Neurospora crassa OR74A: one gene and its partners. The protein of the gene in region 2 binds, or shares a complex with, the protein of the main gene of each other region. Links are inferred from orthologs where the notes say so. Each region holds a gene or a part of one and is shown on either strand. Other genes may lie near its edges.

Evidence for each region. Proteins that work in one complex are often made in the same cells at the same time.
Region 1: NCU05523 (region 2) and NCU05423 share a complex: the UniProt entries of both Schizosaccharomyces pombe proteins name them as parts of the 7-subunit TFIIH core complex. The link is inferred for Neurospora crassa OR74A from reciprocal best matches to the Schizosaccharomyces pombe genes tfb2 and tfb1.
Region 3: NCU05523 (region 2) and NCU01580 share a complex: the UniProt entries of both Schizosaccharomyces pombe proteins name them as parts of the 7-subunit TFIIH core complex. The link is inferred for Neurospora crassa OR74A from reciprocal best matches to the Schizosaccharomyces pombe genes tfb2 and tfb4.

What each region holds. Positions count from the first base shown.
Region 1 is NC_026502.1:1,591,222-1,595,372, reverse strand, and holds NCU05423 (hypothetical protein), read left to right. Parts: upstream 1-1,346; 5' UTR 1,347-1,746; coding exon 1,747-3,738; 3' UTR 3,739-4,052; downstream 4,053-4,151. UniProt on the Schizosaccharomyces pombe protein: Component of the general transcription and DNA repair factor IIH (TFIIH) core complex, which is involved in general and transcription-coupled nucleotide excision repair (NER) of damaged DNA and, when complexed to TFIIK, in RNA transcription by RNA polymerase II.
Region 2 is NC_026506.1:1,624,984-1,629,047, reverse strand, and holds NCU05523 (transcription factor tfb2), read left to right. Parts: upstream 1-1,291; 5' UTR 1,292-1,639; coding exon 1,640-1,763; intron 1,764-1,847; coding exon 1,848-3,229; 3' UTR 3,230-3,563; downstream 3,564-4,064. Other genes in the region: NCU05522 (PaaI thioesterase), read right to left, coding at 34-203, 284-349, 468-648, 714-729, 799-839, 897-935. UniProt on the Schizosaccharomyces pombe protein: Component of the general transcription and DNA repair factor IIH (TFIIH) core complex, which is involved in general and transcription-coupled nucleotide excision repair (NER) of damaged DNA and, when complexed to TFIIK, in RNA transcription by RNA polymerase II.
Region 3 is NC_026502.1:3,029,969-3,033,756, forward strand, and holds NCU01580 (transcription factor TFIIH subunit Tfb4), read right to left. Parts: upstream 2,526-3,788; 5' UTR 2,207-2,525; coding exon 887-2,206; 3' UTR 525-886; downstream 1-524. Other genes in the region: NCU01581 (hypothetical protein), read left to right, coding at 1-524. UniProt on the Schizosaccharomyces pombe protein: Component of the general transcription and DNA repair factor IIH (TFIIH) core complex, which is involved in general and transcription-coupled nucleotide excision repair (NER) of damaged DNA and, when complexed to TFIIK, in RNA transcription by RNA polymerase II.

The sequences.
Region 1 (4,151 bases), on a different chromosome or scaffold from region 2:
GCTTTAACATTGTGGAGCCGGCGAAACTGGGTGGAGCTACCCAGCTTCTCGCACTGGGAACAAATACATCGAAGACGCCCGGGACCCAACAAACTTGAAGGGGACATCAATGTGAGATTCTCTCGGTACCTCCATAGCCGCAAACTCGCCTACCTTCAGTTATTTACTGCTCAGTCTGCTACATACCCATACGTAGTAGCGTACACAATGGAATACACGAAGAGATATCATATCCATCATCTACTCGAATCCGTCCTCCCTCTTGTTGTTTGTCCAAAAGTCACGACGGAGTTCACGGTTCGAGCGGTGACCACGGTAACAGCAAGCATAACCGGAAGTCGTGGAGTTTCTGTGGTTTCAAGGAGGGGGACGGGAGCTGTGTCTCCATGACAAGTCATCGGGCACGCAGCAAACTGGGAAAGTGTGGAAGAGCTGGAAGTTACGGTCTGGAGAGTGCTACTGTAATTATTTCATTACGCATTGGCTCCCGCACCTCCCGTCGAGACTGGAGTTGGAGGCTCCGAGACCTGACCCGAGTCCCTTTTCCCCGGAAATCACGGTTCCCGTCTTTTTGGACCAAGTATCCAATCTTACCGTGGAAAGTGGGGAAAACTTCCATGTCCGAGGTGGAAATGTACGGTAACGCTTTCGGTCCCATCTTTGAGCGCGAACTTTTCGAAGCTTTCGCTTGGGGCATCGAACTGATGGAACTGCGCTAGACATGGTCTGGTCGGTATCCTGGGTTATGGGTTTGGGTTCAATTAGCTACTTGGCACTGACCGCCTTGTGACTTGCCGTAGTATCATGTGACTTTTGCAAAAGTCATTTATCAAATCCATTTTGTCAAAGAAGAGACAAGCGAACCGAGTCTAGATCTCGTCTCGATCTCGTCTCGAGTGGTTTATCGAAATGACTTTGAGGTTTGGCTGTTGGTTTCGATTGTGTAATTCACTACAAAATCCTGCATCGTCAGCTGCCACCTTCAACTTCTTCTTCATTATTGAGCCAGTTGCAGCATTGACTGCACGTCACAGTGTTAAATCCCCCAACTCTCATTGGCTGGCCGTGACTGGTTCGCTGCAGTGCAGTTGCTGTTGTCCAAGCTCTGCGCTGGCTTCAGATCCTTGGCATTTCCCACCCACGGCACCTGCAGCAGTTCGTCGCCCAGAGCTCAGGTCCTGTGGTGGCCAGAGATCCGACCTGGGTGGACAGCTGCCGTGACACTGTCTGTCGGTTCAAAGTGGAACCTTCCCGAGCTGAAACCTGAAGTTCAAGTTCTTTACACTAGTTGAACAGCCCCAGGGCGACCATGGAATTGTTAGTAGTCGTGCTCCACTGCAGCCTCAGCTGCCGCCTGCCTGCCTGCCACGCATAAACTACCTACTACACTATGTAAACTCACCACCCACTCACCATCCCGCAACGACATCCGCAGCAGCCAATGCCTCACCCCGGATTCAAGACTGACGGGACCTGGATTAGATTTGCTTGGCGTTACTACACTACATCACCACGTCCATCATCGTCTAATGCCGTGTACCTTGACGACTCTCCCGTCTCTCTTCGATATCAGTAAGGCGTAGTACACGAGCACGCTGTGACATACGTATCGCGTTAATACATCCTTGTCAAGGAACACATTGCGAGGCTGGTCCGTCTTTATAACATCAAAAGATTGGGAACTGGGCATTGAGCGTGGACTTGAGATATTCAACGGGCGGTTAGGGAGAGGACTACCTAGCCAACATGGCCCCGATTGAGATTCCCCGGGGACAGGCCTCTTACAAAAAAAGAGAGGGCATCATCACATTAACCCCAGACAAGACAGCCCTGATATGGAGCCCCTTGCCGGGCACTGGCCCACCCGTCATCTCACTTTCCGTATCCAACATCACAAACCTCCAACAGACCCCCAAGACGAATCCCAAGGTCGTCTTGAGAGTCGTCGAGAAACCCAAGGCGCCCGGAGCCGATCCGGCTGCCTATCCCTTCCAGTTCACACATGCCACCGAGGCCAGGAATGAGGCCGATGCCATCAAGGATCTTCTCTCTCAGATCATTGCTGAGCTTCGTGGCGATGACCCTTCTCTACCCAAGCCGGCAAAGTCTGGCCCCAACGGCGCCGGCGCCTCTGCCGCCATGGCCATGGCCAGTGCCGTGAACTCGAAGCATTTGCCGTTTCGCTGGTTCGAAGACGACATGCTAAAGGCCGATGTAGAACTTCAGCAGTCCCTCATGAAGAAGGATAAGGCCTTGGCCCATATATATAACGACGCAAAGCTGTCCAAGCCAGATTCATTATCAGATGCCTCCTTCAACAGCCAGTTCTGGGCCACCCGCATCAGCCTGCTACGTGCCTATGCCATCGAGCTGAACCAGAAGAAGGGCTCATATAACGTCCTATCAACCATCAAGCCCCGGACCGAGAACGGCGAGCTCAAGTTGAACATCAACCATGAGCAGGTCCAGCTCATCTTCCAACAACACCCACTGGTCAAGCGCATCTACAACGAGAACGTCCCCAAGCTCACAGAGTCCGAGTTCTGGTCCCGCTTCTTTCTCAGCCGTCTCTCCAAGAAGCTCCGCGGCGAGCGCATCACCGACAATGACAACACCGACCCCTTATTCGACAAGTATCTCGAAGCCGACAACACCATGGCAGTCCCAGCCAAGATCACCGCCACGAGTGTGCCCCCCATCATCAACATCGAAGGCAACGAAGAAAACCAAGGTGGCTTCAGGGGTGGCAACCTCAAAGACGTCGAGATGCGTCCGCGCGCCAACATCCCCATCATCAAAACGCTCAATTCGCTCTCCGAGAAAATCATGGCCAACGTCGCCCCCACAGACGTCGACCCCTCCGCCGCCTCCTACTCCAAAGACGGCATCGCCGACGCCCTATCCAAACAACTCGCCCTGCAAGACCTCCGTGGCGACGCCGAGGCCCAGCTGATCCGGCTTTCCGTCAAGGACACCTCCACCTTCTTCACAGGCAACCAGCCCTCGCTCACCGACCAAGAAGCCGCCGACGCGCGCCTCTACGCCACCCAAGTCCCCTCGGACGTGCTCTTCGAAGTGCAAGCGGACATGGACACTCTCGACTCGGACGGGCGCGGCGGCATCGATCTCCACCGGTCCATCGGGGTCGATCCCGACTCTGACGACGAGGGTAATAACTCTCTGGACTCTAAAAGCGGACCCAAGCCCCAACACGTCGGCTCCCGCGCTGCGCTACGGTTCGCCCAGAACCAGATCCTCGAGAGCATGAAGTCCGCTCGGTCGCACCTCACCACCACCACCACCCACGGTGGCTCGCACACCACCACCACCAATGCGTCCGAAGAACGACCCATGTCGTTGCCGACGGACATTGCCCACCGCGCTACGCTAACCTGCGCTACGACCGCCGAGTTCCTGAAACAGTTCTGGACGGTGTTTAATAACTCCAGCAACAGCAGCCCAGAAAAGCAGCAAGAATTGGCCTACCTGGCCGACTCGCTCGTGCGCTCGAAACAGAGAATCGAGGCGCTGGCTGACGAAGCGGAGAAGAGGAGACAGGAGATTATGGAGAAGCGGAAAAGGGAGATTAGAGAGTATTATCAAAAGACAGGCCGCAAGGCGAAGTGGGTTCCCGTTGGAGGGGGCAGGGATGCGGTGTGGGCGGCTTTTGAGGGCGTGGTGGGCGGGTTGGAGAGGGCTGTGGCGGTTTGGGAGATGGTTAAAAGTGGGAGGATCTGAAGATATGAGGAAAGACAGTGGCAGAGGTGCGTTGTTAGGGGATGGATGTTGTGCTGTGCTGTGTGGAAACGGGAGGAAGATGGGGAGGATGACTTTCATGAGAGGAGAAGTGATAGAGGAGGATGACATTTGGGAGCGTTGCCATGAACGAGAAAAAGTTTCAAGTATATATAGAGGACAGAAATGGCCCACAAGACAGTAAGGCTGGGATAATTTGGGTTAGGAGAAGGAGAAACAGACTGACTATAGTCACATTAGGAATTATGGCTGAAGACCAATGATGAAAAAAAGCATTAAGAAATTTTCAAGAAAGCAAACTGGTTCTGGACTGATGTGTGATATCTAAAACCAGACTCTTAACACTTTCCAAAACGAAGGTTCCGGTATTCTCAGATTACATCATGTAGATAAAG
Region 2 (4,064 bases):
ACGCACCTATGTCCAGGTTGACTCTCATGACTTTTACTCCACATCATCCTCGGCAATCACAGCTCCCTCCGGAGGCGTGAAGAGCTCAGTCCCATTTTGGGACTTCCAGGCGTTGGCGACATACTTTGTATGACTACCACGGGCACATAGCTCGCCCTTTTGGTTGCGGAAAGTGACGGTGGTGTAGGCAAGAGTCTTGCCCACTGTTTGGTTGTTGATGATGAAGGTTAGTCATGTCAATAATTCATGTTGCTGATGCAAAGGGGCAGGAAGAAAGACTTACTCTTGTCACACACAGCGGTCCCGGAAATCTTCTCGCCGACTTTCCCACCGCTACTAAGGTAGGTAACTGAGTTTTTTCATATACATTTTAGTATTGTGTGTTTGCGGAAAGCAGCACATAACTGGGCTGGAGTTCTTTTGTCCGAGTAGGCATGAATCAATCTCATGGAAGGAAGGAAACATACCGTTCAGATCCGTCGACACACCGGTGGCGTAGAGTCCTTTCGAGGCTACAGCCAGAGAACCACCAAGGTCAACCATGCTGGCGATGGTCCCGCCGTGGATGATCTTTAGACGGTTGGTGTGGTCTTTGGTGATGTCGAGTTCAAAGTCGACCTTGCCTTCGGTGGCACCGGTTACCCGGAGCTAGTTTGGTCATATCAGTTACATGTTCGTTGTATCCATGGAATTTTGTGGTGTCTTTTGCCTACATGAGGTCCGAGGAGTCTGTAAAATTTGGTCAGTCTCATGTCTTGATCTCTTCTTGACAGACCATGGTGATGTGTCATCACTTACCTCGGCTCAAGGCCGGACTCGGCCATGAACGACTTCAGGACCTAACATGCTGTAAGCAACCGAGTCAATGCAGCTGTGAAATGAGTTCCTGAACTAACCGATCTCACGAATCTCGCTGGTGGAAGCTTGGGTGCCATTTTTTTGTTGCTGTTGACCTCGAAATAGGAGACGATGTAAGAGGGATACACGAGGTGTGCTTCAGATGCGGTGTCTGGACTACCTCTAGGTGGACTTGGGGACGGAACACTGCTGTGAATGCCGGAAATCACCACCCGGGACAGGCGCTGTTACAGTGGCTTTAGAAGCAGACTGGCCGACCCGGGAGACGGTAGACAAATGCCGGACAGTGGAACGGTGACGTCGTAACAGGGACTGGTAGTGCCTGCCACGAGGGTCCGAAGTCCCCACTTATGCTTGGTGACCACCTGCAAGGGCACCACGGGGCAGGCAACCTATCCTCGCGCGCGTACAACGCAATGATCATCAACAGCCTTCAAGGTCTTCTTTTGCACCTTATGCCTTTCACCCACAAGTGCCACCGGCTACACCATTATCGCTCGATTCCCTGGGTACCTACCGAATAAACATATACTCGATTCATCATAAATCACACTTCCGTCGATATAACACTTTCCACCTAGAAGTTGGTTTTGGTCCCCATATCTGCCAGCAGAAGTCAACCAGTAGCATTACATCGTGATCCTCTCGACGAGCCATCTGGACTTGACGACATTCGAAGCACTACGTTTACCGAATATTCGACTTGACCTTTCACATTGCCATTCACATAGCGATAACGAATCTCTATTAGCGGCCCGCTGTGCCCGCCCGTCTATCCACCATGTCACTCGGCGGACAACAGCTCCTCGAGTACTTGGAGAAGCTGCCAGGTACAGCTTTTAGGAGACTGTACCAGTCACCAGCGACAGCTTTGGCCATCTTCCGCCGTATGCTGTCTTATCATGGTATGCAATTGTTCCTCGAGTCAGATACCGAAGTCTTGGACGCCGAATCTATAGCATGTAGCTAACTCCTTTGTCCCTCGATAGCCAAGGTTATTGTCCGAGGTCTACTGTACATGCCCGACCCATTCCCGTTAACCTCCCTTGACATATGGTTCCCTCCAGAGGGCGGCGGAAAGATACATCGCGATCGCACCATTGCCGCTCTCCGATCCCTCCACATCCTACAGGTCTCACCACCAAGCAAGGACCGAACCCAAGAAATCCAAATCACGGCGAGCTTCAAGAAAGGCCTACAACTAGCCTTCGAAGGGGGCGGCGAAGATGGCAGCTTTGGCGTCCCTAGTTCTCTTCCCGTCGATCCCTCCATCGACATCGCCTACCTGGACAGGTACGCTCGTAAGAAGTGGGACGACATCCTCCACTACGTTGTCAACAGTCTTGGGGTCCACGGCAGCTCAGAAGGGGTCAGCGGACCCAAGGCCAGTGTGAAGGAACTACTCTTGGCCGGACGCCTCGTCGAACGACGTCCAGACACCCGTACAGGAATCGGAATTACGCAAGCCGGTTTCACCTTCCTTCTCCAGGAGTCCAACGCCCAAGTATGGACGCTCCTCCTCCTCTGGCTCGAAGCAGCCGACCACACGGCCGACTCGGGCATGGACAGCATTGACATGCTCTCCTTCCTCTTCATGCTCAGCTCGCTTGAGCTTGGAACTGCCTACGATACTTCGGCCCTGACCGAGACGCGGCGGAATATGCTTCCCTCGCTCGTCGACTTCGGGCTCATCTACTTCCCGCGCGACACGCGCCAGTTTTTCCCTACCCGCCTGGCCACCACACTGACCAGTACCGCCTCGGCCCTGCGCACCGTCTCCTCGGCTTTCACGGCCGCAACCGCCAACCCCTCGGGCGAGCCCGGCACCACGACCAGCACCAGCGGCGGCCCCGCCGCCACCCCCGACAAAACACAGACAGCAGCCAAGGGCATCATCATCGAGACCAACTATCGTATCTACGCCTACACCACCTCCCCGCTACAAATCGCCGTCCTGGCTCTCTTCTGCCAGCTCAACATGCGTTTCCCCAACATGGTCTCGGGCCGCCTAACCCGCGACTCCATCCGCCAAGCAATCGGCTTCGGCATCACCGCCGACCAAATCATTTCCTACCTACACGCGCATGCTCATCAACAAATGGTGCGCGAAGCCACGGTCACGGGTAAACCGGTGCTTCCCCCGACGGTGGTGGACCAGATCAGGCTTTGGCAGCTGGAGAACGAAAGGATGCAGACCACGGCGGGCTTCTTGTTCAAGGACTTTGAGAGCACGGAGGAGTACGCGGCGCTGAGCAGGTATGCGGAGGAGATTGGCGTACTAGTGTGGAAGAATGATAAGAGGCAGCTCTTTTTTGCCAGCAAGCATGAGCAGTTGAGGGATTATTTGAAGAGTCGGAAGAAGGGGGAGTAAGAGGGGCAGGTTTGTAAGAGAGGGTGGTTTGGATTCGGGGGTGGTTCAGTATGGTTGGAATGAACCCAAGTACCTAGGTACCTCTTGTGGGTGGATGCAATGGGTAGGCGATGGGGTCTTGCATCGTAAAACTTTTACATCTGTGGGCAGGGCAGGATCAACATTTGCATTGAAAAAAGGAGTTCTGGCTTGGGTGGGTGGTTTGGCATCACGCAATTACTAGCTTATACTGTAGACAGGAGTTGGGGGTAAGAAAGGGCCATGTTCAAAATACGAGGTAATGGTCGCCTCGAAATAGGGATGACCTCTTACAAAACAAAGAACTCGATTTCATATGATCATACACATGCAAACCTCTTTTTGACATTCGATTGAGAACAACGCTTCAAGTCATCGGGAGACGTACTATACGAGACCGAAGAGATTGGAAAAAGGGTGCTCGAACAAAATCAGCCTGCTCACTGTGCTACACATCTTTGTGATATACACCTCTTGATACGCCATCCTAGCTGACAGGGCTCAATGACAGGAGTATTGGCGAGGGACTGATCATACTCGGCGGCAATTGCACCTGTACCGAAACTCAAAGTTTGATCATTGAAAGAAATGTCAATACAAGACTAACTACCATTTATTTGCGTTACCATTATGAGGTTCAAGGCATCAATGAATGCCAGAACTGCCCTCTACAACGCCGGACCTTTGCCTCTTACCCTGGGTATGTGAAGCGGTAAGATGAGGTCGGAAACCGAGAAAATACTCTATAGAGAAGTCCGACCATGCCTGTTACCATGAATATCTAGAGCGAAATGACTATGCTCTTGTTCTGTAGTCT
Region 3 (3,788 bases), on a different chromosome or scaffold from region 2:
ACGACAACGACCACGCAAAATTCGAAAAGATGGATGTCGACGAGCCGGAACCTGAGCCAGAATCAGAGCCGGAACCATCATCAAAGACGACCACCATGGGACAATCATCTTCTAGCAAAACCCTCGATCACGAGGACGTCACTGATAACGACGAGGACGAAGATGAGGTCCTCAATAAGACATCTGACCGCAACACCCCAGACCGCGACGACGATGACGAAACAGCCAGTGAGCCCGATGAGGAGGATGATGGGACTGTAGAAGCAGGGGACAAGGATCTTGATGTGCCGCCGCCTCCTTCACCGCCGCCTGCTAGACGACAACGCACGGCTGCGGCATCCTCGACAGCGACGACAACCCCTCAGAAAAAGACGACGGCTTCTGTTGTAGGAAAGGGAAAGGGAAAGGAGACGCTAACGCCCATTTCCCATACTAAGAGGGCCGGGGCGACGGCTACGAGAGCGTCTCAGCCTGCTGCTGTAGTAGATGAGGGGAGTGAGACTGAGTCTGATGATGAGTTATGAATGGACGGTGGACGTTGAACGCGAGTCGGGGGAGCATGATGTAACGATGGATAATGACTAGACATGTCCCCAATAACAGGTATCGATGGCTGAATCCTATAGTGGGAATCCATGTCCAGTAAAGTGATATTCGCAATAAAAGCTGTTTTATGGGTATTAGCACTGCATGTCAGACTCTATGTGTATATGTAGTTTTCCAAGCCTTTTGTCCGCTTTCGGTAGACATCCCACGAGCAATCTTGTGGGCTTTACCACTCCCTAGTCTCTAATCAGCCTCTTGACTGCCTGGTTCCCCGGCCCAGGACAAAAGAATCATCCACCATCAGTTACCTCTTCACTCTATTCCATACCTCGCTGAAGACTTATTTCAGCATCGTCCCTTTCCCATTCGCCTGCCCCCCTCCAGGAGGAGCAGCAGCCTTTGAAGGCAGCACAGGTAACTTCCTCCCGTAATTCCCCAACGCTAACTTGGTGCCGCATGTCAAACACTCCCCACCCTCGGGCACCTCGCAAAAAATGCTCAAGCAGATACTGCACACAAACCCCGTATCAATCACGTTCCGATGACAGAAACACGCCGCCCGGAAATCCACCGAGTCCGCACTAGGGGTGACCAACAGATCCGCCACGCTAGCATTACTCCCCAGAAACTTCTGGCCTCCATGCTTGGCCCCTCCCTTGGCCGCGGCGCCAAGGGCCTTCTCGCTCGCCTTGTCCTCTTTCCCCTTATGTCCCCCATGCTGCTGCTGAGACCGCTGGTTCCCTGCCGCCGCCAACCCCTGTGGCGCGCTCCCGCTTCCAAACCCAAACATCAAGTACTGCAATAGTCCCCTCGGCTCCTGCGCCCGTATAAACGTGCCGCGCGTAATATAGCTCGCCTGCTGCAAGAACGTTGCACTACCCCGCAGCGCCAGCGTGTCGATGGCAATGCGCGCGTGCGCCGCCGCGAACACAGCATTCATGGTAGGGATGTACTGCGAGGGGGAGCTGTCGCTTACGCTGACCACCAGGATGCGGGCGTGCAGGCCTGCCAGGCCGCCACCGCCGATGCCAGGGAGGGAGGCTGCGTTGCCGCCGCCTGGGCCGGCGCCGGAGGTTGTGGAGACGGAGGACTTGCCGCCTGCGGAGGAGGGGGTTGGGCCGGTGGCGGAGTTGGAGGGGGCGAAGAGGAGGGCGGTTTTGTTGATGTGCGCGAGGGCGAGGGTCAAGGCGCCGGAAATCTGGGTGGTGGTTGTAGAGGTGATGTCCTCGGTTGTGGTGTCGGTTATGAGAGATCGCAGGGAGGAGAGGAGGGAGCGCTCGATTTGGGCGAAGAGGGGGTATTTGTTTGCGGGCGGTGGAGATTGTTGTTTACTTGTGAAGGAGGCGTCGCGCATTTCGATGTCTTCGTTTGGATTTTGCGGGTGTCGGCCGGGGTTCTGGTCGGGTGCTGTTGGGTAGAGCCATACTGCCCGGTTCGTGTGTGATGCTATGAGAGCTACTTGGTTGGAGTTATTGAAGGCTAAGTGGGAGTTGACAAATATTAGAATGTTGGCGAGCGCTTTCGTGAGTGGGAGGACATCGTTCAGGGCGGCCCAGGCGCGTGGGTTGGTGTCGATGATTATGGTATAAAGGGAGGGGATATCATCGGTGTTGTAGATTTCGTAGTGTTCGGAGGCGTCGACGGCGTCCTGGACCGTCATCTTGACGATGATCTGGCAGGGACAGCCTCAACTCGCTTCAAGGTTGTGTGTGTTGTAGAGCTATATCGTGGATCGAAGCCAGTTGGTGTACATGACGTAGGCCTTTTGTCGCCGCGATACTCAGTGCGCCGGTGCTCGTAGGGAGCTTGTCTGGATGCTGGATCGAGAGATGGCAGGATAGCTAAGCGGGCGCTCTGTTGTGTGATATTCGTTATAGTTGTTGTCTGGATTGGTTATGTCTGCTGAATAGGATTGACGCGCCCAAGAAGACCTTCTCGTCGAGAACACTGCAGATGCGATAACGTAACGGAGAAATGCGATAACGATTTCGGGGTTGCAAGCGAAACGCGATCCAAGTGAAGGCCAAAGGATCCTGGTCCAAGTGCACACGCTACCACGTGATACCCGATAAGGCAGATTGCCGGCATTTTCCTTAGTGGTCAAAAGATATGCAGTTAGAGCACTAACATGCAGTTAAACATACAGATGTAGTCCAGTTCTCGCTTTCCTATTGGTCAAGATATCCTAGCTCCTCTATGTACAATGATATCACCTTCATCCGAACATGTCCTTCATCTCTCATCTTATTCTTCTCTTCCTGCTGTGTCCGATTCTAGTTCAACGACCCCAGCATTACCACCAAAACAGCCGGGTGATGAACACGCAAGCGTGCATAACTTTTGACACCAACAGCGAGGTCATCTTTTTCCTTTGATCCATCCACACCATCACATGTTCCCTTTTCGGTTTATTCACATATCGTACGAGGATCTCCTTTAGAAGGATGGCGCAAGACTGTCAACCGAGAGTGGCTTAAAGTCACCGGCTGTGCAATTCAAGGTGTCCTTGGTCTGTAGTCGGGCTCTTATTGGCTTAGGGGTTACCCCGGTGACGACAGCTTTACGTTGGAAGCCTATGGCCAAGACTATCATCGATAGGTATTGTGAGGTTTTGAGGAAGAGAAGTACAAGTATCTAAGGAAGGGGCAGCCAGGTAGGTAAGGAATAGACAAAACTGAAGCTCAATTTAAGACATTGTTCTTTCCATGCTCTCGCAATATGTAACTGCCTTGATTACTCCCGATTATCTACCTCTAGCACTGTAACCACCACCGAATATTCCCCTATGGTAAGTTGTTCAAGTTCCCGATCTTATAACACCCTTCACTCATACATAGTAGACACAGGAATCTTTCAAGGCCGGCGACATTATAACCCCGGTAGCTCTTCCAGATCAAAGAACAGAAAAGCGAACTTGTCTTCCGAGACAATAATTTACCTTCCAGAACGACGGCAACTTAGTTCTTCATGAATATGCCGAGCCCAGGTGGAACTCATGCGGTCGTCTCTCTATGGACAAAGTGGACGCTGGCTTGTTTCGACCAGTAACGGCAATATGACAAACAGTCTTCCCGGTGGTCATCTCGAGCAAGATGCCGACGCACCGGAGGAAACTATAAATCAATAGTCCAACATGACGGTGCCGCGGTGCCGAAGCTCGATGGAGTCACCCCTGGACCGGCGTTAATGGAGGCTCGGCACAAACATACGAACCCTGTGATGTGAAGTCTCTGAACCCTACT